Linked DNA regions of Danio rerio. The protein of the gene in region 1 purifies or fractionates together with the protein of each later gene. This does not show direct contact. Links are inferred from orthologs where the notes say so. Each region holds a gene or a part of one and is shown in the gene's direction. Other genes may lie near its edges. The genes, in order: rela, tnip2, daxx, map3k8, carm1 and kpna3.

Region 1 (4,194 bases):
TAAGAGGTGATTCTTTTTGGACCTTTTTGCAGTTATTCGTCTCGTTTTCTATTTAATTATGAGATTTAAATACTGTATTTAGCTGTCATTTAAACTACTATGTTTAGCTGGATTAGCTTGTTGGGTGGTCATTATAACCACACTTTTTGATGTACCAAAAATATTTATTTTAGGGCTGTCTCTCATCCCTGTATGAACAGAGTAGGAGTCTGATTCGCATTGCCAGCAATACAGTTGAAGTCAAAATTATAAGCACCCTCCCTGCTGACAAATCCAGCCTAAACCAGTCTAGGCTGGTCGACCAGGCTGGTTTAAGAGGGGTTTTGGCCACTTCCAGGCTGGTTTCCACCCATTTCCAGCCAGGTCTTAGCTGCTCAGGCTGGGAGATGACCAGCTAAAACCAGCTTGACCAGCCTAGCCAAGCTGGGAGTCCAGCCAAAACCAGCTATATCCAGCTTAAACCAGGCTGGTCAAGCTGGTTTTTGCTGGATTTGGCTGGTCATTTTCCAGCCTGACCAGCTAAGATCAGGCTGGAAATGGCTGGAAACCAGCCTGGAAGTGGCCAAAACCCCTCTAAAACAACCTGGTAGACCAGCTAAAACCAGCCAACCAGCCTAGGCTGGTTTAAGCTGGATTTTTTAGCAGGGCTTTGCATCTGTTTTCTTTTTTAAATATTTCCCAGATGATGTTGAACAGATTCAGGAAATGTTCACAGTATGTCTGATAATATTTTATTCTTCTGGAGAAAGTCTGATTTGTTTACATGTCACATTAAGCTGTATAGAAGTGTCTTGAAGAATATCTAGTCAAATTCACTGTCATTATGATAAAGAGAAAACAAATCAGTTATTAGAGATGAGTTATTAAAGCTATATGATTAGAGATATGTTGGAGAAATCTGCTCTCTGTTACACAGAAATTGGGGGGAAAAAATAAATAGGGGGCGAATAATTCTGACTTCAACTGTATTTGACAAATTCTGGACCCTAGTCATTTAGGGCTGGGTCTTCTGAACCGCCCTGGCTACAGGCCTGGATAGTTTACTAGATAGTTGAATATAAGTTAGATGATTATGTCAGACTTTTCTTAGTGAAGAAGCCAAAAGTATTCTCATTATTTGTCACCAAATACAGTATATTATTCCAAAAACAGTGAATATGTAACAAGACATCTGAGTCCATATCTTCATTTGACATTGATTTTGGTCGACAAATAAGTTTGTATTGCTAAATACTGCCCATAAGCTAATCTACAGTGCGCGTGTGTTCTCAGCAGTCGTGTTGGTGATGATGAATCGCGTCATCCGGGTATTTCCGCCCACGGGAGCGCGCCTGCTGTAGTCCCGCGGAGGCGCGCGGAAGGAAAGTGTTGTCGCGGTGTGTCGTTTATTTTTCACCGTCGCCCGGAAACGTTAAAAAGTGACCGAGAGCTGTGGAGACCCGCGACATGGACGGTAAGTCGAGCTTTAATGCCGGGTTTCTGCATGTGAACGGCGCCAACGGGGGGTTTGCGGTGTCGCGCGGAAGGGAAAGTCCCGCCGCTAAACTTTTACTCTCGGTTTCGGCTGAGAATCGATCGGTCCCCTGTCTCCGGGGCTCAGGTCGGTAAACGGGTCACGAGAATCAAACACGACAACCATTACAAGGCTGCAGAGCTGACGTATCGCGGCCTACAGGTGTGTGTGTGTGTGTGTGTGTGTGTGTGTGTGTGTGTGTGTGTGTGTACACAAACAAACAAAAACACTTTCAAATACTTGTCAAAAAGTCCTCAGAGATCACGCGATACGCGGAAAGTGGCTTGTTGACAAGGTTACGTTAACTTATGTTACTTTTCCTGGTAACGTTAACTGCTAAGTTCTGTGTGGGTTGGTTAATGCTAGTTAGTAGCTAGTAAACTTCATCGCCTGTGTGAGCTAACGTTAACTGACGTAGCGAAAGTAAAGATGCACTAACGTGATATTTGTATTATGTGGCTGCTTGTTCATTGTGGACATCTGACGATAAACCTGTTTAGGGGTGTGTTGGCTAGTTCTGGTTATAAACTCATCTCCTTCATGGACTCACTGATTTAGCACAGGTAAAGCTACTCAAAGTATATCTATACTCTTTATTTGGTCACTTGTTCATTGTGAATGTCTGATGATAATACTCATGTTTAGAGTGGGTTGGTTAGTGCTAGATAACTAGTAGTCAATGAACGCCATTATTAACTCTTTGATTTAGCAAAAGTAAAGGTACTTTGTCACAATATTTATGTTGTTTGCCCACTGGTTTATTGTGAATGTCTGATAAGGAACATATTTTGGGGTGGGTTAGTGCTAGTTATGGCTAGTAGTCATAATCACCTTTGTGAACGCACTGATTTAGCGTGAGTAATGCTGCTTGTTTATTTGGCCACTTGTTCATTGTGAATGTCTGATGATAATACTCATGTTTAGAGTGGGTTGGTTAGTGCTAGATAACTAGTAGTCAATGAACTCTATTACGAACTCACTGATTTAGCAAAAGTAAAGATACTTTGTCACAATATTTATGTTGTTTGTTTGCCCTCTGGTTTATTGTGAATGTCTGATAATGAACATATTTAGGGGTGGGTTAGAGCTAGTTATGGCTAGTAGTCATAATTACCTTTGTGAACTCACTGATTTAGCGTGAGTAATGCTGCTTGTTTATTTAGCCACTTGTTCATTGTGTATATATGATAATAAACATGTATTAGTGTTGGGTTGTTTAATGCTAGCTAACTAGTAACCAAAGCCACCTTTTTGAACTGGTTTAGAGAAAGTAAAGCTACTCTATTACAATTTTTGTGCTGTTGCCACTGATTCATTGTGAATATCTGATGATAAACCTGTTTAGGGGTGGGTTGGTTAGTGCTAAAAAACTAGTAGCCACCTTAATCAACTCACTAATTTGGCAAATGTAAAGCTACTCTATCACAATAATGACCACAGGTTCATTGTGAATATTTGATAATAAACATGTATTAGTGTTGGGTTGGTTAGTGCTAGCTAACTAGTAACCAAAGGTACTTTTGTAAAGCTACTCTATTACAATATTTGTGTTGTTTATTTGGCCACTGATTCATTGTGAATATCTGATGATAAACATGTTTAGTTGTAGGTTAGTTGGTTTGTGGTAGCTAACTAGTAACCAAAGCCATGTTAGTGAACTGATTTAGAGAAAGTAAAGCTACTCCATTACAATATTTGTGTTTCATTGTGAATGTTTTATAATAATAATAATAATCATAATAATATTAATAATAAGCATGTTTGGTAATAGGTGGGTTGGTTCGTTCTAGTTAACCTGTTAAAGTCTCCTTATATAGAGTAAGTAATACTGCTCAAAATGTTGTTTGTTTGGCTGCTTGTTGATTGTGAATATCTGATAATAAACCTGTTTAGGGGTGGGTTGGTTAGTGCTAGAAAACTAGTAGTCAGTGTCGCCTTAATGATCTCATTGATTTAGCAAATGTATCACAATAATGGCCACAGGTTCATTGTGAATATCTGATAATAAACATGGGTTAGTTAGTACTAGTTATGGCTAGTAGTCAAAGTGTCCTTTGTGAACTCACTGATTTAGAGGATGTAATGCAGCTTGTTTATTTGGCCACTTGTTCATTGTGAATATCTGATAATAAACATGTATTAGTGTTGGGTTGGTTAGTCATAGCTAACTAGTAACCAAAGTTACATTTGTGAACTGATTGAGAGAAAGTAAAGCTGCTCTATTACAATATTTGTGTTGTTGTTAGTGGTAGGTTAGTTGATTAGTTCTAGTTAACTATAGGCATTGGTCGGTATAAGATTCTGGCGGTATAATAACCTTGGATAAAGATACCACAGTTTCATGGGATAGTGATTACTGCTCTAAAATATATTCTTTTTAAATGTCTGAGTAAAAAACTAAAAGTTTCCCTTTGAATACAATATATCTTAATTTGAGAAGTATTTAATATATTTTGGAGCAGTAAACATGTCAGGTTGAATAATTCAATGAGTCACTGACCTCTGCTGTCTTCATTCATTTATTCATTTTCTTGTCGGTTTAGTCCCTTTATTAATCCAGGGTCGCCACAGCGGAATGAACCGCCAACTTATCCAGCAAGTTTTTACGCAGCGGCCTCAACCCATCTCTGGGAAACATCCACACACATTCGCACACACACTCATACACTATGGGCAATTTA
Region 2 (4,275 bases), on another chromosome or scaffold:
GGTTGCCTTTTGTTTTTCCCAGCCGTTCTTAAATGCCAAGAAGTTGCAAACGCAAGCACTTCTACATTCCATCCTCAAATGAAAGGGTTGCCCTAATGTGATCCAAGAGTAATTACCAACTTCATTGCCTATAATTTCACAGATTTACTTCATACCTCTGCAGAAGCATGCCTAAACAATAAAAAATGTGTATACACAGCTGAAATGGCTGTTGTGTGAAAAAGCACCTTCAGCTGTGTTCTTATTGTGACAATTATATTTATATACATGTGCGTGATTGACTTATATTTATGAGTAATATATCACGTCTGTCAAATGCGTGTCAATGCTGTTTTGATACCACAAGATGGTGGCAAACTTTAAAGAACAGTTTTGGACTTTCCCTAGGCAGAACATCATGAACTCACACAAACATTACATGCTCAACGGGACTTTCTGCCGTTTCATGTGTGCTGCTTTTGGCAGAGGGATAAAGATTCTTCGCACTAAGAATGAGGGTTTAGACATTGTAAGTTTGTTAATTACTGTGTAATTAAAATGACTGTTTTATGGTTCAATCTTCAGATCACAAACTAAGCACCGTTGGCTTTCATTGTCTAGACAATTGACAAGATGTGATCCAAGATAATGGCAGGCATTATCCATTATGAAAAGAGGAATGGTATGAGATGGAATCTTTTAAGAAAGGGGAGTTTTAGGCAGTGTTATGTTATTTTCATCCAAATATTCAAAACATTTTTAAAATAATAATTAAAAATACTATTTGGTAAGATTCACATTAATCTAAATATTTTTAGATTATATTAGATTAGATTATACTAAACATTTTTAGAAATATTTTTATTAAAAATACAAAATATTTTTTATTAAAAGTTAATTTGATTTAAATAATTACACAGGCAAAAATGATGAGTAGAAATGATATATATTTAATGTATTTATTTATTATTTATTAGTCTTGAACAAGAATTATCTTTAACATTTTAGGAGGGGGTCCTATGGTGGTGGTGTCTGAAAGCCTCTGGTAAACAGACTAACAGAAAGGTAAACAGTTTCGGTTCCCAATGGAAACAAAACAATGGAGCTAAATAGGAAACAACATGTTACAGCTTTCTTTAGCTAAAGAATTCCGTTTTGTAAAAGGGTTAATCTTATTTTTGATATTGGACTACGTTATACTTTAAAGTGTGGGATATTTTTATAATAAGCTATGGTGTGAATAGACTCCTGCTTTCGATTTTGAACTTTACCTACGTTTCCATATGTAAAGATTTGTCACCTGTCCAAGTTCAACTGACTACTCCCTTCACGGATGCTACTTGAGAATACTGTGCGTGTTAAACTGCTCGTTGTACCGTGTTCGGGAGCGACGTGACAAACTTAATCGTTATAACCAAGGAAGCTAAAAGCAAACGTTTAACCACCACGCGCGTCACTGACAGTATAAAGTAGCATGCTGGTCGCGCGCAATCCTCGTCCACGCGCACCAGGCGGCGTCAAACTGAACTGTAAACTTAATCCGACACGAAGGAGCGAGTCGACTGTCTCTTAAACGTGTAAAATCACTATTAAACCGCACACGACTCGACAGTTAACTCGTTTGAAGGCAAAACAGCGCCTGTAACCCCAACTATTCTCGACGTTTTATGTGCAGTACAAAAAATATACCCAGTTTGAGATGGGGGGAAGTCCCCGTGAGGAAATCCCCTGTTCATAATTTCGAAATTGAGTGAGGCTCTCGCAGACTGAAACTGCTCTGAAACATTTTGGTCTAACATAAGTTACAGCAGACGCCTGTGAGCCCTATGACACTCAGACCTGTACAATATATGGGAAATTTGTACTATATGTGCTCGTTTTAACGGATTGCTCAGCATGGATGAGATGAAGAGGGAGAACGAGGCGCTGAGGGCGAAGTTGCGCAGCTGCTCTACTCTCAACACAATTTACCACGAAACACAGCAAGAAATTGCTCGTTTAAATCAGTTGGTGACCTCCAAAGACGGGATTATTGCCGATTTGAGGGCAAGACTGGGGAAGTATGAGAAAACCGTGGTCATTGAGGGAGAGGAACCTTATATTGTAGGGCCATCGAAGTCACTCATCGAAAGTTTGTGTAAGGAAATTTGCAAATTAAAGCAAAAACTGAAGGATTTAGAGAAAGACACTGCCCAGAAATTGGAAACCAGAGACAAAGTAAGTTAAACACAATTCTGAATTAATAATATGAAATAATTAATAACATTTTCTCTACTAATTAGAGTAAATTTGTTGTTTTTCTTGTCAGTATACTTTTCCAATGACTGTAAAAGAACTGTAAAGTATCCTCTCTATAAAATACTCCAATTCCTAACTCAAGAAATTGTAATGAAATTAATGTTATATCACAAAAACAAAACATGTAAACCAGCTTACAATGTGTTGCTGGTCTTAGCTGGTTTATGGTGGTCTTCAAGTCAGCTAACATTAAGTGCCTTTGAAAAACTGACCAGAAAACTTAAGTTTAAGCTTTGTTTTTCTTGCTTGTTTGTACTGTTAGTCCGGCTTTTTATGTACAACTTTGTTCATGAATACAGAATATGCTTTAGTTTTGATGAAACAAGTGCATTTCGTGTTCACCTTCTCATTTGTGAATCTCCCGACTGCTTGTTTAAGGAGATCCAGAGATTGCAGGAAAAGTTGAAGGAGAGGGATCAAGAGTTGCTGACCATCAGGGAAAGACCAGAGCAGGAGAAAGAGAGGGAGATCCAGCAACTGCGCACCACATTGGCCGAAAGAGATCGGACACAGGCCACCAGGACTGTACTTTGCAACTCTCTTGCTGAAGAAGCCGATCAGTTAAGGGCCCAGTTGGGGGCCACTGTGCAGGTGTGTCAGGAGCTTTTGGGACGGCTGGAAAACGAGAAAAACAAAACAGCCATGACGGATCAGAGAACTCAAGTTCATGAGGTGCGTTGTGGAAACTGTCAGTCTGCAACATTTAAGGCACCTTTAAAACAGCTGCCTAATGATTATATTTGACCTTATATTTTATCAGACATCAGATTCCCCCGAAGTTCCCCAGCTAAATGTCATCATTAGCAAGTTAGAAGAGGAGAACGACCAGCTCAAGAAGAGAGTGGCATATGTAAGGATCACATGATGGAACTGTTGTTTGATCATCACCCTCTGACATTTGTTTTACCTGTGTCATATGCTGAAAATGTCATACTGTAACTGTTACGGAAAGAATCAACAGTGTAAAAAAATTCTTGGAAAATGTCATGTAATTTTTTCACATCACAACTTGTTTTGTTCCATTTCAGGTGGAAAGTTTAAACTCAAAATGGCAGAAGTATGACTCGAGTAGAGAAGAGTACGTGAGGGGTTTGTGTCAGAAGTTGAAAGAGTCAAATGGACTGGCTTCCGCAGATCCGACTCTAACCCAAGCCCCGACTGCGGGACACGTGGCTTTGTTCCAGCAGGAAATTGTGAGACTCAACGGCCTCCTGCAGGACAAGATGATGGAGTGTGAGAGATTCAGTAGAGAGAGGGATGACAATGCGAGAAGAGACCAAGAGCAGATACAGATGCTCGAGCAGCAGGTCTGTATCCGTTCAGTGTGTACAATCCTATTAAATAGGAAGTCGTTGTATTTTTGTCATAACAAAGGTGAGAAGTAGTTTTGTTGTTTGGCTTGCTGCCCATAACACAAATGGCTTACTTGTACACTCACAGGTTCTGGCCTATGTTGAAGACTTTAAATCGGAAAGGGCAGACCGAGAGAGGGCTCAGGGTAAAATCATGGACCTTCAAGATGAAGTTGGGCGACTTCAGCTGCAAATACGTTCACAGGCAAGTCTAATTATTAATTATTCATCAAGGTATTTAAAAATAATTTTAAAATATGCATTGTATCATTTAAAGTCCCAATAAAATCATTTGTAGCATTCTGATTTAGCGTTACAAAATAAATAAATGGACATAAGCATTTATAAGTTGTATTTGAACAAACACGACAGGGTTTTTTCTGGCACAAAATAAGCCGAAGATGGAAGATGAAATGTTTGCTACTTGAAACAAGCACATTTTGCATTCTTTTTAGTAACCCACTCAAGTTAAACATGTTCATATTTAAAAAGGCAGATATTATATGCAACTAAATAAATGACCAATGCTTGAGCATCACTTGGGGTCTGTTGGTTGCCGTGACTGCATGCCTGATTGGTCAAAAGCTGGAGGTGGTGCAAAAAATTATGGAGGTGGCCACCTCACAATTCTCTTTGCAGGAAAAAC
Region 3 (3,500 bases), on another chromosome or scaffold:
GATCCGCCGGCTTCAGGAGGGGGATTTGAGTTTGGATGACTTGGAGAAAGAAGATTCCAGTTATATTCAAGAGCACAAACTTAAACGCAAGGTCAGCTTGTTTATTCCTGATTTTAGTTCTTTCTGTATTTATTTAGCCGGGACAATGCTCAAAGAGAAAAACTTTAAATTAGCCAAAGTTAGTCACAAGAATTTTAGGGCGTACTCACACTATGCTATTCGAACCGTGCCCAGGGTTTCCCGGATCATTTCAGAAGTGTGAGTGCTCTGAATCGGGCTCAGGCACGGTTAAATGTCATATATATATGAGCAAAGTGCACCAGAGGCCGAAACTGAAGATGAGACGTGACTTTTACAAGACTGTTTAATATGGCATTATTATCATTCGTACTGTTCAATGAACACAAACTGTTGTAGATTTTAAAGACGCAAACCCCTCACTGCACGACAGCTGCACCTTCAGCAAACCTCCTAATTCCTGCAGCACGAGGTCTTTATGATTGTTTATGAGCGTCAAAAGTCATGGATCTGTTCGGCGAAATATTTTACTGCGTGTCACCGCATTCTAAATGACTTAAACAATACAACTGATTAAGAAATGTCCACTGTGCTGAGCGAAAGCGCTTACTGAACAGTACAGCATCGATGACGTAAGGGTGCCCAGGCCTGAATGTAATGTGAGTGCGGGCCGTCGGGGGAGACGGAAGGGGGACAAGCGTGCTTTGGCCTGGTTCAAGGCAACTGTACAGTGTGAGTTTGCCCTTAAATTTCATCTGTTGCCTCCTGCCAGGCATATATTCGTTTTCCTTTCGGCTTAGTCCCTTTATTAATGTGGGGTCGGCACAGAGAAATGAACCTCCATTTTATGCAGCATATGTTTTACGCAGTGGATGTGCTTCAAGCTGACCCATCGTTGGAAAACACCCATACACTATTATTCACACACGTACACTACAGACAATTTAGCTTACCCAATGCACCGCTCCAACCTTAAATCAAAAACACATTACTACACATACAATATCAGTAAAATTACTTGCAACAAAAAATTAAAAAATGGCAACATTTTCTTTAAAAAAATTACATGATTACAAACCCCATTCACTTCTGCCATTTTTTTAACTTGTATTCAAAGATTCAGTTAAATCTGTTTTGATGTATAATCTATGAAATCTATAGCAGAAGTTGTGAACGTTCAGAAGTTGTTATAGCTGTTTTTGTGGTGTCAGATGATGAAGATCTATGAGAAGCTGTGTGAGCTGAAAGGCTGTAACACTCTGACGGGTCGAGTGATCGAGCAGAAGATCCCATACAGTGGAACGAGATACCCAGAGATCAACAAGAAGGTGCGGGCTTTTGCTTGGACAGTTTTTTTACTTTATTTTCATACATTAAAGCAATTTAAAAACTAATATCTAGACTCTCTAAAAAGAGGGGAGTTTTAGCTCAGGTTTTAATTAGTTTATAATAAATTCCCTTAAAGCATAGGCTAGAAAATTTGAAATAAATAGAGATTTATGTATGATAGCGATCATTGATCAGATGATTCTTTTTAATACTGTTTTATTTTGTGTGTTTATTTCAAGTAAAACATGATTTATAATATCATTGATTTGTATTTGCTTGAAGATTCATTGTTTTAGGGATCAAAAATGGTTCATAAGTATGGATTGGTTTTCTTTTAGCATCATCAAGTAACGATTGTAGTATTTGCTATAGTTTAAAATGTGTTATTTTTAGATTAACTGCTTTGAATTTAAATTATTATTGATTATGGTCTTTTGTAGTTATTTTTGATGTTATACTTTTATTTATTATAGTTTCCTGGCAGCTAGCAGAAATAAAAGTTTAGTTTTTGTGATGTATTTAAAATTATAAGTTAAGGTTTATTTAATTATTAACTAATTATTTTGGTTTTCATTAACTACTGTAACCTTAATATTTTATAATTCAATAGTGCAGAAATTAGTACATTTACTTAAATTAAATTAAATTAATTCAGTTTAATGGAATATTTATGATTTTAAAATATTTGTTGATTAAATAAATGTGTTATTTTTCGATTATCTGTTTTTAATTTAAGCTTTATTAGTTTGATTATGATATTTTCCTGTTATTTTTTGTTGTTATACTTTTATTTGTATAGTTTCTTTGTAACTTGCAGAAATAAAAATAAGTTTAGTTTTTGTCATATATTTACTTTAATTAAATCAATTATAAATTAATTTAAATGTTTGTGTTATTATATTTGAGAATATTATTTTATTTTATGTTTACATTAAATGCCTCCTGATAAAACTCAAAAATGCTTATTGAACTAGCCTATTCCAGGGGCCTAATATTAATAAATGAATCAATGTTTACCCAAACCTTTTCCTCTCTCATTATCTCTTATTGTTTCTTCTCTTTTTGTTGAGCAGGTTGAGCGTTTCATCAACAGTTCAGAAGCTCTTCTCAATCCTCCAGACTACAGCGATATCCTGAAGATTGTGCAGAGAGCCAACGAACGCTACAATCTCCAGCTCTCCCGCAAACAGCAAGCACAGATCTCCCAAGAAGCCTTCAGAGAGACGGGCAACAAACTACAGGAGAGACGACACCTTGACATGGTCTACAACTTCGGCTCTCATCTCACAGATCCATACAAACCAAGTAAATCAGTTTCATTTAATAACTGTCTAATTCAGAAGGAAAAGCTCATATTGTAATAATCTAATGACTTGAATTTTTGATGATTCAAACTAGGGGTGGGCATTGATTGAGATTCTGATTCATAAGCAATCGATTCAGTAAATGTAGATTTAATCCGTTTTAAAAGTTCTATTGCAGGCATTAAAAGTCGGGGGTTTTTTGTGCAAGTTATGGATTTTTATTTATACGTTTTAAATAGTACTTCCCATTAATCAAAATATAATTAAATTACACTGCTCTTGAGTGAAAAGTAAGGTGTCTGGGTCATGGAAATTTAGCGTTTTAGTAGGTGAAAATCAGAAAAGTCAGGGAATTTGCTAATCAAATCACTTTTATTGTCGCATCATCAGCAGCATGTGTGCTATGATGAGTGAAAAGCTTAGGTGCTGACTCCAGACACGACAAAATACAGATACAGTGCAAATACAACGACAGTGCAAAATACAGACAGTGCAAACACAGTGACAATGTGAAATTGACAGCGATATGTACAATGAATAGGTGTCCACATCGTTGTAGGTAGTTTTGTTTCAAGTATGGATTGGTTAAAGTGCAGTGCATGCTACATTTTGATGGTTTGCTGTAAGGGTTATGGAAGAGTCTGTGTGTGGGTGTGTTAAGTGTTCATCAGCCTGATAGTCTGAGGGAAGAAACTTTCCTTCAGCCGGCTGGTGCATGACCGGATGCTGCATACAGTGGAAATACAAATACTTTAATACAAATGCTATTGATATTTCTAGAAAGTGATCAGGTGCATGTGTATTTTATTTGACTTTTTATCAGATGAATGTGAGAAGGAGTGATAATAA
Region 4 (4,236 bases), on another chromosome or scaffold:
TGGAATATCCTTCCTGATAAGGTACGAGGCTCAGGCACACTCTCGCAGTTCAAAACTAGATTCAAGACCTATCTGTTTAGTAAAGCACACACAATGCATCACTTAGCGGTATGGTGAAGTTTTTTCCTCGCCTCTGTTGCCACTAGCTTGCATGGTTCGGGATATGTAGGGCTGCGCATCAATGGATTTACTCTTCATTGTTTGAACTCTCAATAGTGATTATTAAACCACACTGGACTTAGCTAAACTAAACTGAATTTAAACTTTAAAATCTGAACTACACTGTTTCAATCTACTATAATCTTCTATGTGAAGCTGCTTTGACAAAATCTATATTGTAAAAGCGCTATACAAATAAAAATGAATTGAAAATTGATTTGAACTTAACTAATATACTAGGTAAAGCAGCCGCTTATGGCCCCAGCGAATTAGGGGCCCCAACCTATGTCAGGATGCATATTAATCATATCTCTTTTAATAAATTCTCTTTTATATGCTGTAAAATCTGCTTATAACCTTTAAGATTTTAACATTATTACTTTTTTTCCAAACCAGGGGACCTCATGAACAATGGAATATTCCTTTCTTACTGCACATGCAAATTTTAAAAACACAAATATGGCTAATTAACTGTACATACTTTGTTCTAATAAATTACTTGTTATTTATTTGCAAATTTATTGTATTTCATTTAACATTAAGAAGATAAAGAATGCAGTGCAATATAAATATTTTTAACATGCAGATTTTATTTACAAAAAAATAAATAAATAAATAAAACAATATCTATAAAGAGAAAAAAAAGCTTAGAGCTTCATTACTAGGGCCCCCCAAATCACTAAAGCCAGCTACTGCTTATTAACCAAATGTATTATTATGGCAGCTTTGGCATTCCATAGCCTACTACACTAAGGCGCCGTTTACTTTCGGGGAAAAACTGAACTGTCAATCTGCAGCCTGGATATCCCCCAATTTGAAAACAGCGTTTAGATATTTTGATACACTTAAGACAATCTTGTCACTATTCGTTATCTGGATTCCCTGACACTTTCAACAAGTTTAGAAGTTTTGAAATCTCTTAATGAGCGAAAACAACAAAAGGACACATTTTTTGCTGGGTCAGCGGACTTCACTCATTTCGTATATAGACCAAAACTAGTTAGCTTCTGTTTACTACAAGATGGTTTCAACAAGGCAACTTTTCCTTTGGCGCAAATTAATCATAAAGATGAAAGCGAATGACATCCTCCTTCTACGGAACATTCTGATAGGGGACTGTGGCAAAATCCAAGCAGCAGATACGTGATCTCGATGAGAAGACGAGAAAACACCTCTCAGAGAAAAGAGAAAACGAAACCGCAGTGACGTAAGCGCACAGCGGAGGCGCGCAGCTCGCTGATTCCTCTTATCAGCGAGCACACGTCTGAAAAAGCTTCAGAGGGAACTATGGACAATCACTGAGTATGCGCCCTGCTGTGAACACACTGACTGAAAGGTAGGCAAACTGCTGGTGTTTTATAGATATCATTTATTTTGTTTAGTTATTTTTATGCTTCATTAGCCTATACTATTTCGAACAACGTTCAGAGTAGGCTAAATACTGTGGATTATTTAATAGGGCTTTTGGCATATGCTTGTCAGCACCCTTTCTAGTTACTCTTTTTGAGCACCGGTTCTTTTCATCAGTAATGAACAGCCTTTATTATTAAAAATTCATTATTTAACATAAACCAAAAATGGATATTCAGCGATGGTTGCCAAATCTGCATGTTAAAAACTCATCCAACTGCTATTCAAAACTATCCCCAAAGTGTCCGAGTCACACTCTTGGGTGTTAGGATGTTCTTCATTGTGTAAGATTCAAATGCACAGCAATAGGGTAAAAGTACCCCAGTTTCTAAAGGAAACAAGAAGTAAATTTGGCAGCAGTGTATAGGGTTGTATTTCTGCAATGCTTTGGAAAGTTCTGTTTTTTGTGTGTATATCAGTCACCCGATCACACCATATCAATTTAGAAACAGCACATGTAATAGGTCAAAAATGATAAAACATAAAAAAGTGATTGCATTTATTATGATTCAGCCATTCTGATAAATCATCTTGGGCTAGTCATTTTTACTGCTAGCATGTCCCTCATAATTGGTCATTTTTGACCTCAAAAATGCTGTTATATTTTGTTCTTGTTTGTTTGTTCTTGAGGAGAAAAAAGAGAGTTAATACAATGAAAAAGTTCCATTTGTCATTCATTTTAAAGATGTTTTAAGCCACCTCTCACTTGCATGCAAAATAGAGCAGGCAAGCTGTTCAGGAAACATACCTGACCACACAGCAAACATACATATGGGTGCAAAAACAACATGGATGAATGCATTCATTTCAATGTGTTGATGTTTCTAATGATCAAACATTTTGTTTTATTATTCAATCAAGGATGGAGTATGACAATGGAAATTCTTGTATAGAACTGCTTCTTGCACACATAAAAATTGAGGACTTCATTCAAGAGGCAGAACATTTCTACAGTGTTGGTGAGGTGGTGGAATCTGGTATTTCGTTTGAGGAAGGTTTCTCGCAAGAAGAGATGGACGAGAATGAGGAAACGGCACATGACCTAATTAAACATGTACAAAAGACTGGAAAGGTCCGTTATGGGACAACATCTGACCTCCTGGACTTTGTGAATATGGTCTCAAACACACCATCCTCCTCTCTTTTAGATGTTGGTAGAGAAATGGGTGTTCTGGTGAACAAGGTAAGCTTCATTGGTTCTAAAACTTACATCAATATTTGAAGGGTTTCTGAGGCCTTTCCACCAGCTTCTTAAATTAAAGCATAAAGACTTAAATTTGTATGATCATGAGAGTAAATATTGCATGCATTGAAAAACATCAAATATATAGTCAATCCTTCACAGTCTTTATTTTCAATACAAATATCTATACATCATACTGAATTATACTGAGAAAAAAATGAGCTTATTCTATAAACAAGATCCCATTTTTATCAAACTTACTTCTAATCACTGGCACTGAATAATATGTAATTTTGCATTTCAAGTAAATCTTTATTTGACATTTGTACAGGAAAACAAGACAAAGATAGGAAGAGCATTATTTTTTTGTAGTGCGATTTGAAGAGTAAAAGTTATTTACATATTCTAGTTTTGTGACCTGCTTTGGGAGTTACATAATCCCGTGTAAAGGAGTGTTTATACTTGTTTAGCAAGATAGCCTTTGGTGTCATAAACACCCTGCTTTGTCCCTACAGACAGACATGATCATTAAAGAGGGGCATTATCGCATCGACTTGGACGTCCTTCTCTTTCCGTGGAAACTGACCTACAAGCCTCAGGGCCCTGGACACGTTCCCAAAGGCTCATTTGGGAAGGTCCATCTGGCTCAGGACACCAAAACTCGGAAGCGAATGGCATGCAAATTAGTAAGTAAGGGAATGCAAAGTATGTTTGTTTCCGGAATCTTTACAGGGTTTTACTTTTTTTTTGCTTTGGCAAAGGTAGATGTTTTCACTCAACTAGGAGGTTTTTATGGACATAGCTTTCCTACTGGGAATCCGCATTCTATTATCAGTAAGGTTCAAAATATTTTTTTTAAATACTTTGAAAGTACTCTAATAAGAATTAAGCATAGAGTTCATTCATCATCATCAGCAGTTGTCACATGAAGATAAATCAAGGAAAAGACACATGATACTGAATGATGTTGTGATGAACTTATGATTCAGCATGTGATGACACATGGCTTTATTAACTACAGCCTAGTGAAAAATCGTTCTGAAAAGCGAAACAGGTTTTACAGAAACTGTAGCAGCAGTGAAAAAGTGTTTAAAAATGAGGAACAGCACTTTTGGGAAACAACACAATTTCCCTAAAATGTTCAAAGGGTCAGTATGCAGCACGCAGTGTTTTAACAGAAACTGAGAATGGCACTAACGCACACAGGAAGTGGACAGAAACGCCCCCTGTGGAAACATGCAGCCTACAAAGGCGTCTTAAATTAGTGGCAGAGTGCAGATGAAAATTTGATCTTGTGGTCAAGTTTAACAGTTGCAGTCCTCTTTTAGACGTGTGAATTAAACAGCTTGCCATGTAAGAACTGGATGGATAAACATTATTTAGTCTACAAGGAATTGTCTGCTTTGGTGGAACATGTGATTTGGTGGAACATATGACAGACAGGTTGTCCCTCTCTTGTGCCAAGAAGCATGTGATGAAAGGAA
Region 5 (3,500 bases), on another chromosome or scaffold:
CAACTCAATTATATAATTGACTACCAGCCTAATCTGTCTGTGGAAAGCTTGAGATAATCCTACAACAGCTGGGGAAATAAATGACAAAATCCCTCATCCTGGCATCACCTTTTACTGTTGCAGTGTCGAGAGCTCGCCAACTTAATGTCTTTGAACAAGGCTGGTTGGTTTGATTTTGTTTAAGCTTGTAATGGTAACATTAAATCAGCAAACAACTCCCAGGAAAGATGAGTATTATAAATGCAAATATATTTAAAGTATACACATGTATGTGTGTGCTTTTTATGTATACATAATACATATCCACAGTACATGTATTAAGTAAATAAAAGCTTTTATTTTGTAATGTAATATGGTTTTATATAGTGCATTTATTACCATACACCCAAAGCCTTTTACACTCATGTAAGGTAATTTTCGCATGCAATTAGTCACATTTAATCTTTAAACAACACTAAAATGAACTTTTTCCTCACAAATTTTTAAACAATTATTCACTTAAAAGTGAAGAAATTATCATTTATACTCCCTTTTATTCCAGTTTATTAAAGTTTTTTATTTTCCTGTGGAGCACAAATGTTAAAATCAATCTTGTTATCGCTGTAAATGCCAGTCCAGTGTTGTTTTGCACCATTGACATTGATCATTGACTGTGACTGTATGGATAATGTTTTGAAACGTACATTTTCAGAACAATTAGTTGTTGTTTCTTCACTTAAAATGGTCAATAATATCCAAACTTATGAGTTGTTTTAATGCAGACTGCCTATTAGATTTATAATAACACTGTTATTGAATTCTAAAGGAAATGTTTTGCTCCCCTCCACAGATGAGGAGACGTGTGTCTTTAAGTGTACAGTATTGCGGGAGACAGAGTGCAGTCGTGTCGGGAAGCAGTCCTTCATCATAACTCTAGGCTGTAACAGTGTCCTCTTGCAGTTTGCATCTCCAGCAGGTAAAACACAGCTTCTTTTACAAGCCCATAATCCTTCATTGTGATTTATCAGACCTTCAGACAAGTGCATCGCCAGTCAGCTGGTGTGCAAACTCAATTAAATAAAAGAATCAAGCTCGTCCTAATGTGTTCACTGCTGTTGTTTTTCACTAGATTTCTCGTCGTTCTATAACCTCTTGAAAATTTGTCGTGGACAAAAAGGCGACCGTTCAGTCTTTAGTGACAGGACAGAGGAGTCTTCAGCTGTACAGTATTTTCAGGTGTGTCTGGCTTCTTATTGCCCTGCACGTGCAGATATTCATTTGATTTTGCCTTACAAGCTGAACCATGAAGAACAAGTTTAGAGAAAATCTGACTAGCATGACCGGAATTGGCATGTTGTGAACATCTTTTTCCCTCCATTTTCTTTCTCTCAGTTTTATGGGTATCTCTCTCAGCAACAAAACATGATGCAGGATTATGTACGAACTGGAACATATCAACGAGCCATCCTCCAGAATCATACTGACTTCAAGGATAAAGTAAAGCTATTCTCTTTATTTTCTCTTCTCCTTTTCTGTGTTAAATGTGCTTACAAGTTGAGAAGTTTTCAAACTGTTTTTTCAGTGCTTATTTGAGCATTTTTTGTTCCTAAATGTCATTAGTCAGGCATTTTTGCTTTTATGACTTTAAGGTTTAGCTTTGATGTTGTTCAGACTTAAATACCTAAAGCTGGAACAGTTGACTTATTGCGACAAAGTAAAAGGGGACACCTGAGTCAAATTTATTTTGAAAGGTTGCTCTTTTTTTTGAATGATGTTTTTCTGAATGATTTCTTATTAGATTAAATCTGTGGTTTGGACTTGGTCTTGCCTTGTCTTGTGATTCTTATGCATCCTTTTATCTTTTTTTTTTTTGTCTCAGGTGGTGCTGGATGTAGGTTGTGGCTCTGGCATTCTCTCATTTTTTGCAGCTCAAGCTGGTGCCCGTAAAGTTTATGCTGTGGAGGCCAGCACCATGGCTCAACATGCAGAGGTTAGACACATTCCTCAATCACTGACATGCGCTTCTGTTCAAAAAAGGTAGATTAGTCTCTTATTTTTACCAAGGCAGCATTTTTGTATATATTAAAATTGAGTTTATGCTTCTAATGGCAAAACTGAGTTTTCAGCATCATCACTCCAGTTCTCAGTTTCACATGATCATCCACAAATCATTGTAATAGACCTATGCAAAGATGACGTTAAAAACCAAAACTCTAATTTGCCACTTGTTCACTGAAGGTTTTACAGTTTAGGAGTTGGTACTTGGAGGTTTTATTGTACAATGTGAACGTTACACACACACACACACACACACACACACACACACACACACACACACACACATTCTTACTACATTTGAAAATAAAAATAAACATTTATATGAGTAAAATATGTTTGTTGCACAGCAAAGCGTAAAAGTTTGGATAATTTATCTTTACCACAGACTCACAAATAAAATAACTCAAAGAAAAATACTTAAGGTTGTTAAGATAATTTAATAGGGTCATTTTAGCCATAAACTCTTTGTAAACGGCCCGTTGTTCTACTCTTACAGTAACTAACAGTATTTACAATATATTTTTATTTTTAAATAGAAAAAAAAATCAAAAGTCCTTTTCCTCTTGTGTTTTTGTAGGGAGGTTATTTCGCCATTAAAGTTGTTTTTATTTATTTCTGCTCTAACATGTATAATAAGTTCTTTGCTGCAGAGATAATTTTACAGATTAGCTTTTATAGAAAATAACTCTTTTAAATAAGTTTATCATACGATGCTGCTCATGCACCTAACATTTTGGAAAAACTGTGCTAAAACATGAAAACTGGGCTGATGTACTGTTCTATTGAGATTTTTTTAACGCTGTCCTGGGATATTACCATGCTTTGAAATAATCAACTTTTTATTTGCGCTTTAACACTTTTTAACACATCTATGCACAAGTACACTACCTAATGTAAAGGAGCAAATTGAACCTGATTGGTTAATGGGGTAGATGACACAGCCAGATACCAAAACTAACAGTTTAATGTTTATTTTTAGGCCGTGCTGAAAACTATCATTCATATTTTACACTTAAGGAGTCACTTTTGAGTTCTTAGTCTTGCATTGTTTTGTTGCATAGGTTTGAGGTCTCATATGAACAAAATAGGGCTGTGCGATTAATCGAAATCGAATAGCAATCGTTATTTGAAACATTTCGATTAGCGAATGGCAAAAGGCTGCTATATGAAATATATATTAACTTTCCCACCCAGACCAAATGTGTAACTGCCATCTGTGTGTGACAGTCTTACTAGCCAATTAAGTGAGCACACTTGCATTCTGCCCAATCAGAATTGCACAATCAAACTATGCGGAATGCCCAAAATAAAATACAAACAAACAGGAAAGCGCAAACGAGTGAGATGACGGTGTCTGCAGCTTTAGAAGCATTAATAGACAAATTAATATCAAAGAAAAAAACGCATGACGATAATATGGGAATATCTTGGTTTCAAAGTCACTGACACCAAACAAAACCAGG
Region 6 (4,036 bases), on another chromosome or scaffold:
GTATATCGTTCGCTGATTGGCTCCTGTACTAGAAAGTGGGCTTTATTCACCAAATAGTGATCGCTGATTGGCTCCTGTACTAAAAGGCGGGGCTTCATTTGCTATGTCAAACAGCAAAGAATTACTAAGAGGCGACACTCTAGTGCAATTTGGGAAACAGCCACTTGATGGCGCAGATTTTGTAATGGAAACTCCAATAGAACAACAGCATATTGTAAGTCTGAAAAATAAACTATTAAAAGTGCTGCTGATTGTCATAGTAAGTGCTGTATTTTCGTCTTTCAGGTTGGATCTCAGCTTTAATGCGCTTTTTAAATAAATAAACAAAGCAGCTGCTTGCCATCGCGGCAGCAATAAGATCTAATGGACAGCCGATCGCTTTCCCTCCAAAATGGCGGAATCTGTTGCTGGGCGCTGCTGTTGCAATGGAACGTTTTATTGTGTGTCGTCTCTTGGTCTTTCTTTGGCTAATAATAAATAATATAAATCATTTTCGTTATCCTTCACCCGCAACCTGATCAAGCAACAACCATTTCCAGGCTGGTTTCAGCTATTTCTGGTCTGGTCTTAGGTGGTTAGGCTGGTTTTAGCTGGTCATCTTTCAGCCTGACAATCTAAGACCAGGCTGGAAATACAGAGATAGAATTTTCTATGGAGTTTCTGTGCTCTGCAGTTGCCTTTAAATGGCCTTTCATCTTATTTTAGGCCTATGTTTGAACGACTAAACGAATGCCTAAGTCTTTTTAATGGACTATATTTTAATTAAATTAGCCTACATATTGATGCTGAAAAAATAACATTATGAAATTGAAAATAGTCACATTAACCTTTATTTATCAGCGGCTGAAAATCGCTTTAAAACTAACATTTGCTCACTATTTACTCACCCTCATGTGGTAAGGCTATAAACCTTTATCAGTTTCTTCTGTTGAACAGAAAAATCATTGAAAGCAGGAAAAAAAGAATAATATGGAAGTCAGAGGTTACAGGTGTTTAGCTTTCTTTGAAATATATTCTTGTGTTAAACAGAAGAAAAACATGGTTTGGGAAAACTACAGGGCAAATAAATGATGACAGAATTTCAGTTTTGGGTGAACTATAATGTGACTCGAGAACCGCTCATTTAGCGAACCGGTTCATTAAAAAATCTGACTCATTGAATCGCGAATCGGACGTCGCTACACCCCCCGCCCTCCTCTTCCTCCCCGAGCGGAGCTCCGCACGTCGGTCGGGACTACAGGCGCACACACATACACACAGAGCCATGGCCGAAAACGCCGGCTTGGAAAACCATCGCATTAAGAGCTTCAAAAACAAGGGGCGAGATGTGGAGGTAAGTCCGCTGGAGAGTTTGAACCCTGGGCTTTGTTTCGACTCGTTTTCTTCCCCTTGAGCCTGTGTGGTTCTGGTTTTATGGTGTCAGAAGGGAGCGGGTGTTTGTAGATCCAGCAAGAGCATCATGGGGAGCGGGCGCGGCCTACATAGAGGCCTCTTTAAACACATTTCCCTTCAATATTCTACAGCTCATCGCGGTTTATACACGGATTTTGGCGGTTGTACTGCTTTGTCTAGTCGTGTAAAATCAAGACGGATTTGTTTGTTATGTTGGTTTAGTAACTCCGCACATAGTTTTGCATTTATAACTGCGCTGGGCCAAAACATGCAGATTTATCGTGCTAGCATCTATGCTAAATGGTTAGCAGTCGGCAGCTAACTTACTCGTCTAATTGATACGTTTACTCGTGTTTTGTCGTGTCCACGCATTTAACATTCATGTATACAATTAAAACGCCTTAAACATGAGCGAATAACGTAAAGTATAACTTGTGAACCAGATACATGCGCCAGAGACAGGTGTGTTAACACCGGCTTTAGCAAGCTCTCCAGAACTGAACTAGTGACCAGTCACACCTCAACATCTGACCTCCTTAATGCTTGTTCAGTCACGCCAGGTTAGCAGCCCTTCTGTAGGGGATTTTAACAAACGTGTTGGTTGATCTGAGCCGAAAGGGGTTGTTTTAGTGAAGATGTCATTGTGAAATGTCAGCTGCTTAACTTCTTTTCCTCTTCAAAAAGATTGCCTTTGGTGTGGTAGTTAGCTTCCCCTGTAGATACACCTGAGCCAAACAAACCTCATTTTATTTTCCTCAAACTGGAAAGGAAAAACTCCAGATGGTAGTGTTCACCAAAATCTAGGCTGTATCAAAGCGACCTAGAAATATTAGTAAGCCAGGATGTGCTGTAAAAATGATGCATTATGTAATGCAACAACTGAGTTTTTCTGTATTCTCCACAATTGCCCATAACTTATTTTTAATTTCAATAATTTCAGTTATCTTCTTGGTTAACCTGCATAAAGCTGGACATGATGTATGACATTTTTACCCTGTCATTTGCCTCTGCCAGTAAACAGAAATAAAGCTGTTATGTAAAGCCTAAGCACTTTCATTATCAGTCCTCATATCAAATTAATAAATGCAAATGACAGTACTGTATATTGATTCAGCTTTAGCTGTTATATGCTGTACACTTACAGAGCATGGAGATATATACTCCATAGCTAGTTTCATCTGGCTCATTGTTTATATTACAGCAAAACGATAATTGTCATGATATATATTTTTTTCCGATAATGACCATATATTAAGTGTTCGATAATGTTTATACACTATGCGTAACTAACGCTGCACAGGCATTTTGCAGCCTGCACTTCCGGATGCCGCACGTAGTAGTAGTTTACAGCCATACAGTGTAAGTTGGACTTGGAGTTAAAAAAAAAGGTCACAGGCACTAGCTATGTTGCCCACCACCTATTTTAATGTGCATTTTGGAAATATTCATAAAAAATGGTTGATGGAAACGCCAAGATGCGCATATATTTTGAAAATGCACAAAAAAAAAACATGTGCATAACTGGATAAACTTTTTATTAGTTAAAAGAATTTGCATAAACTATGATGCCGCAAGTTATTTATTAAATGAATAAAAGATTCACAAAGCTTCTACCGCTGCAAATTTCGTTTTTACTTTTGATTTTTGGCGGCGGTTAATTAGGAAGTTACGATTTTATTCTCTTTGACTCGTTGGATGGAAACGCTGCTTTATTCGCACTTCATTTATGCGATATTCCAGTTTTGTGCATAAAGTTAATTAGAATTTTTGGATGGAAACATAGCTATTGTTAACTAGAAACGTCACTAAACTTCAGTAGTCTGGAGCTATATAGTTTTTTGAAATCCAACACAAAACAGAGCAACGTGCACTGCAAACTGTTAGACGCCTAGGGCCAGACTGAATCTGCGGACATTTTTTGCTATTTCTGCACAGAATTTTGTTAAAAATCTTTGGATTTATGCAGAATGATTTTGGGAGTATCATAACTAAAACCCTAATATATGAACTAAAAAGTAATACCCTTTTAACTTGTGTTTAATGTTTACTGTGCAAATCCAATTAGATCCACTTTATTTGGGAAACAAAGCAAGTCTTCTATATATCTTCTACTATATACTGATATATACACCATTAACTCACCTTGTACTTGTTCCAAACCTGTTTCACTTTGTTCTGATGTTGAACAATAATATACAATAACTTGTAGGGTAATGTCTAATCCTGCGAAAAGATTATTTGATTGTTTATATTATTTTATTTATATTGTCAGACAGCTTAAATCAGTTGCAATGAGATTGGCATGCTGAAAATCCTTTTAAATTAATAGATATAAAGATGTGACATTTATCGTCATAATTATTGATATCGGCTGAATGAAAAAAATGATAGTGACAATATATATGACCAAAATAAAATGAACTCGACTACATGATCAAACATAGTTAAGTTAAATAGTATCTATTTGAAGACGTCAAGAGGACCATCATTATTAGAGACTGAACTTACATTCAAATGGGTGTTATTGTAATCAAGGTGCTGCGATCACATTTTTGATGAACTCATTTGCTCTCGTACCCTGTTGATACTAGACATCATTATCATCTTCTGCCGTGGGCTCATCTGCGTAACCCCTGAGGTCTCC

What was found.
Region 2: the proteins of rela (region 1) and tnip2 purify together in Homo sapiens (affinity purification with mass spectrometry; 4 studies listed by BioGRID and IntAct, with this or other methods). This does not show direct contact. The link is inferred for Danio rerio from reciprocal best matches to the Homo sapiens genes RELA and TNIP2.
Region 3: the proteins of rela (region 1) and daxx purify together in Homo sapiens (affinity purification with western blotting; 4 studies listed by BioGRID and IntAct, with this or other methods). This does not show direct contact. The link is inferred for Danio rerio from reciprocal best matches to the Homo sapiens genes RELA and DAXX.
Region 4: the proteins of rela (region 1) and map3k8 purify together in Homo sapiens (affinity purification with mass spectrometry; 5 studies listed by BioGRID and IntAct, with this or other methods). This does not show direct contact. The link is inferred for Danio rerio from reciprocal best matches to the Homo sapiens genes RELA and MAP3K8.
Region 5: the proteins of rela (region 1) and carm1 purify together in Homo sapiens (affinity purification with western blotting; 4 studies listed by BioGRID and IntAct, with this or other methods). This does not show direct contact. The link is inferred for Danio rerio from reciprocal best matches to the Homo sapiens genes RELA and CARM1.
Region 6: the proteins of rela (region 1) and kpna3 purify together in Homo sapiens (affinity purification with mass spectrometry; 4 studies listed by BioGRID and IntAct, with this or other methods). This does not show direct contact. The link is inferred for Danio rerio from reciprocal best matches to the Homo sapiens genes RELA and KPNA3.

The regions. Positions count from the first base shown.
Region 1 is NC_133182.1:1,094,741-1,098,934, reverse strand, and holds the start of rela (transcription factor p65), read left to right. Parts: upstream 1-1,394; 5' UTR 1,395-1,446; coding exon 1,447-1,453; exon of another isoform or gene 1,454-1,675; intron 1,676-4,194. UniProt on the Homo sapiens protein: NF-kappa-B is a pleiotropic transcription factor present in almost all cell types and is the endpoint of a series of signal transduction events that are initiated by a vast array of stimuli related to many biological processes such as inflammation, immunity, differentiation, cell growth, tumorigenesis and apoptosis.
Region 2 is NC_133176.1:40,471,500-40,475,774, reverse strand, and holds the start of tnip2 (TNFAIP3-interacting protein 2), read left to right. Parts: upstream 1-1,475; 5' UTR 1,476-1,875; coding exon 1,876-2,196; intron 2,197-2,655; coding exon 2,656-2,949; intron 2,950-3,037; coding exon 3,038-3,127; intron 3,128-3,305; coding exon 3,306-3,584; intron 3,585-3,717; coding exon 3,718-3,834; intron 3,835-4,275. UniProt on the Homo sapiens protein: Inhibits NF-kappa-B activation by blocking the interaction of RIPK1 with its downstream effector NEMO/IKBKG.
Region 3 is NC_133194.1:8,077,659-8,081,158, reverse strand, and holds part of daxx (death domain-associated protein 6), read left to right. Parts: coding exon 1-91; intron 92-1,229; coding exon 1,230-1,346; intron 1,347-2,420; coding exon 2,421-2,652; intron 2,653-3,500. UniProt on the Homo sapiens protein: Transcription corepressor known to repress transcriptional potential of several sumoylated transcription factors. Down-regulates basal and activated transcription.
Region 4 is NC_133187.1:25,362,868-25,367,103, reverse strand, and holds the start of map3k8 (mitogen-activated protein kinase kinase kinase 8), read left to right. Parts: upstream 1-1,436; 5' UTR 1,437-1,463; coding exon 1,464-1,495; intron 1,496-2,430; coding exon 2,431-2,752; intron 2,753-3,267; coding exon 3,268-3,438; intron 3,439-4,236.
Region 5 is NC_133178.1:33,005,879-33,009,378, forward strand, and holds part of carm1 (histone-arginine methyltransferase CARM1), read left to right. Parts: intron 1-829; coding exon 830-955; intron 956-1,108; coding exon 1,109-1,215; intron 1,216-1,371; coding exon 1,372-1,476; intron 1,477-1,858; coding exon 1,859-1,969; intron 1,970-3,500. UniProt on the Homo sapiens protein: Methylates (mono- and asymmetric dimethylation) the guanidino nitrogens of arginyl residues in several proteins involved in DNA packaging, transcription regulation, pre-mRNA splicing, and mRNA stability.
Region 6 is NC_133176.1:50,010,958-50,014,993, reverse strand, and holds the start of kpna3 (importin subunit alpha-4), read left to right. Parts: upstream 1-1,236; 5' UTR 1,237-1,264; coding exon 1,265-1,333; intron 1,334-4,036. UniProt on the Homo sapiens protein: Functions in nuclear protein import as an adapter protein for nuclear receptor KPNB1. Binds specifically and directly to substrates containing either a simple or bipartite NLS motif.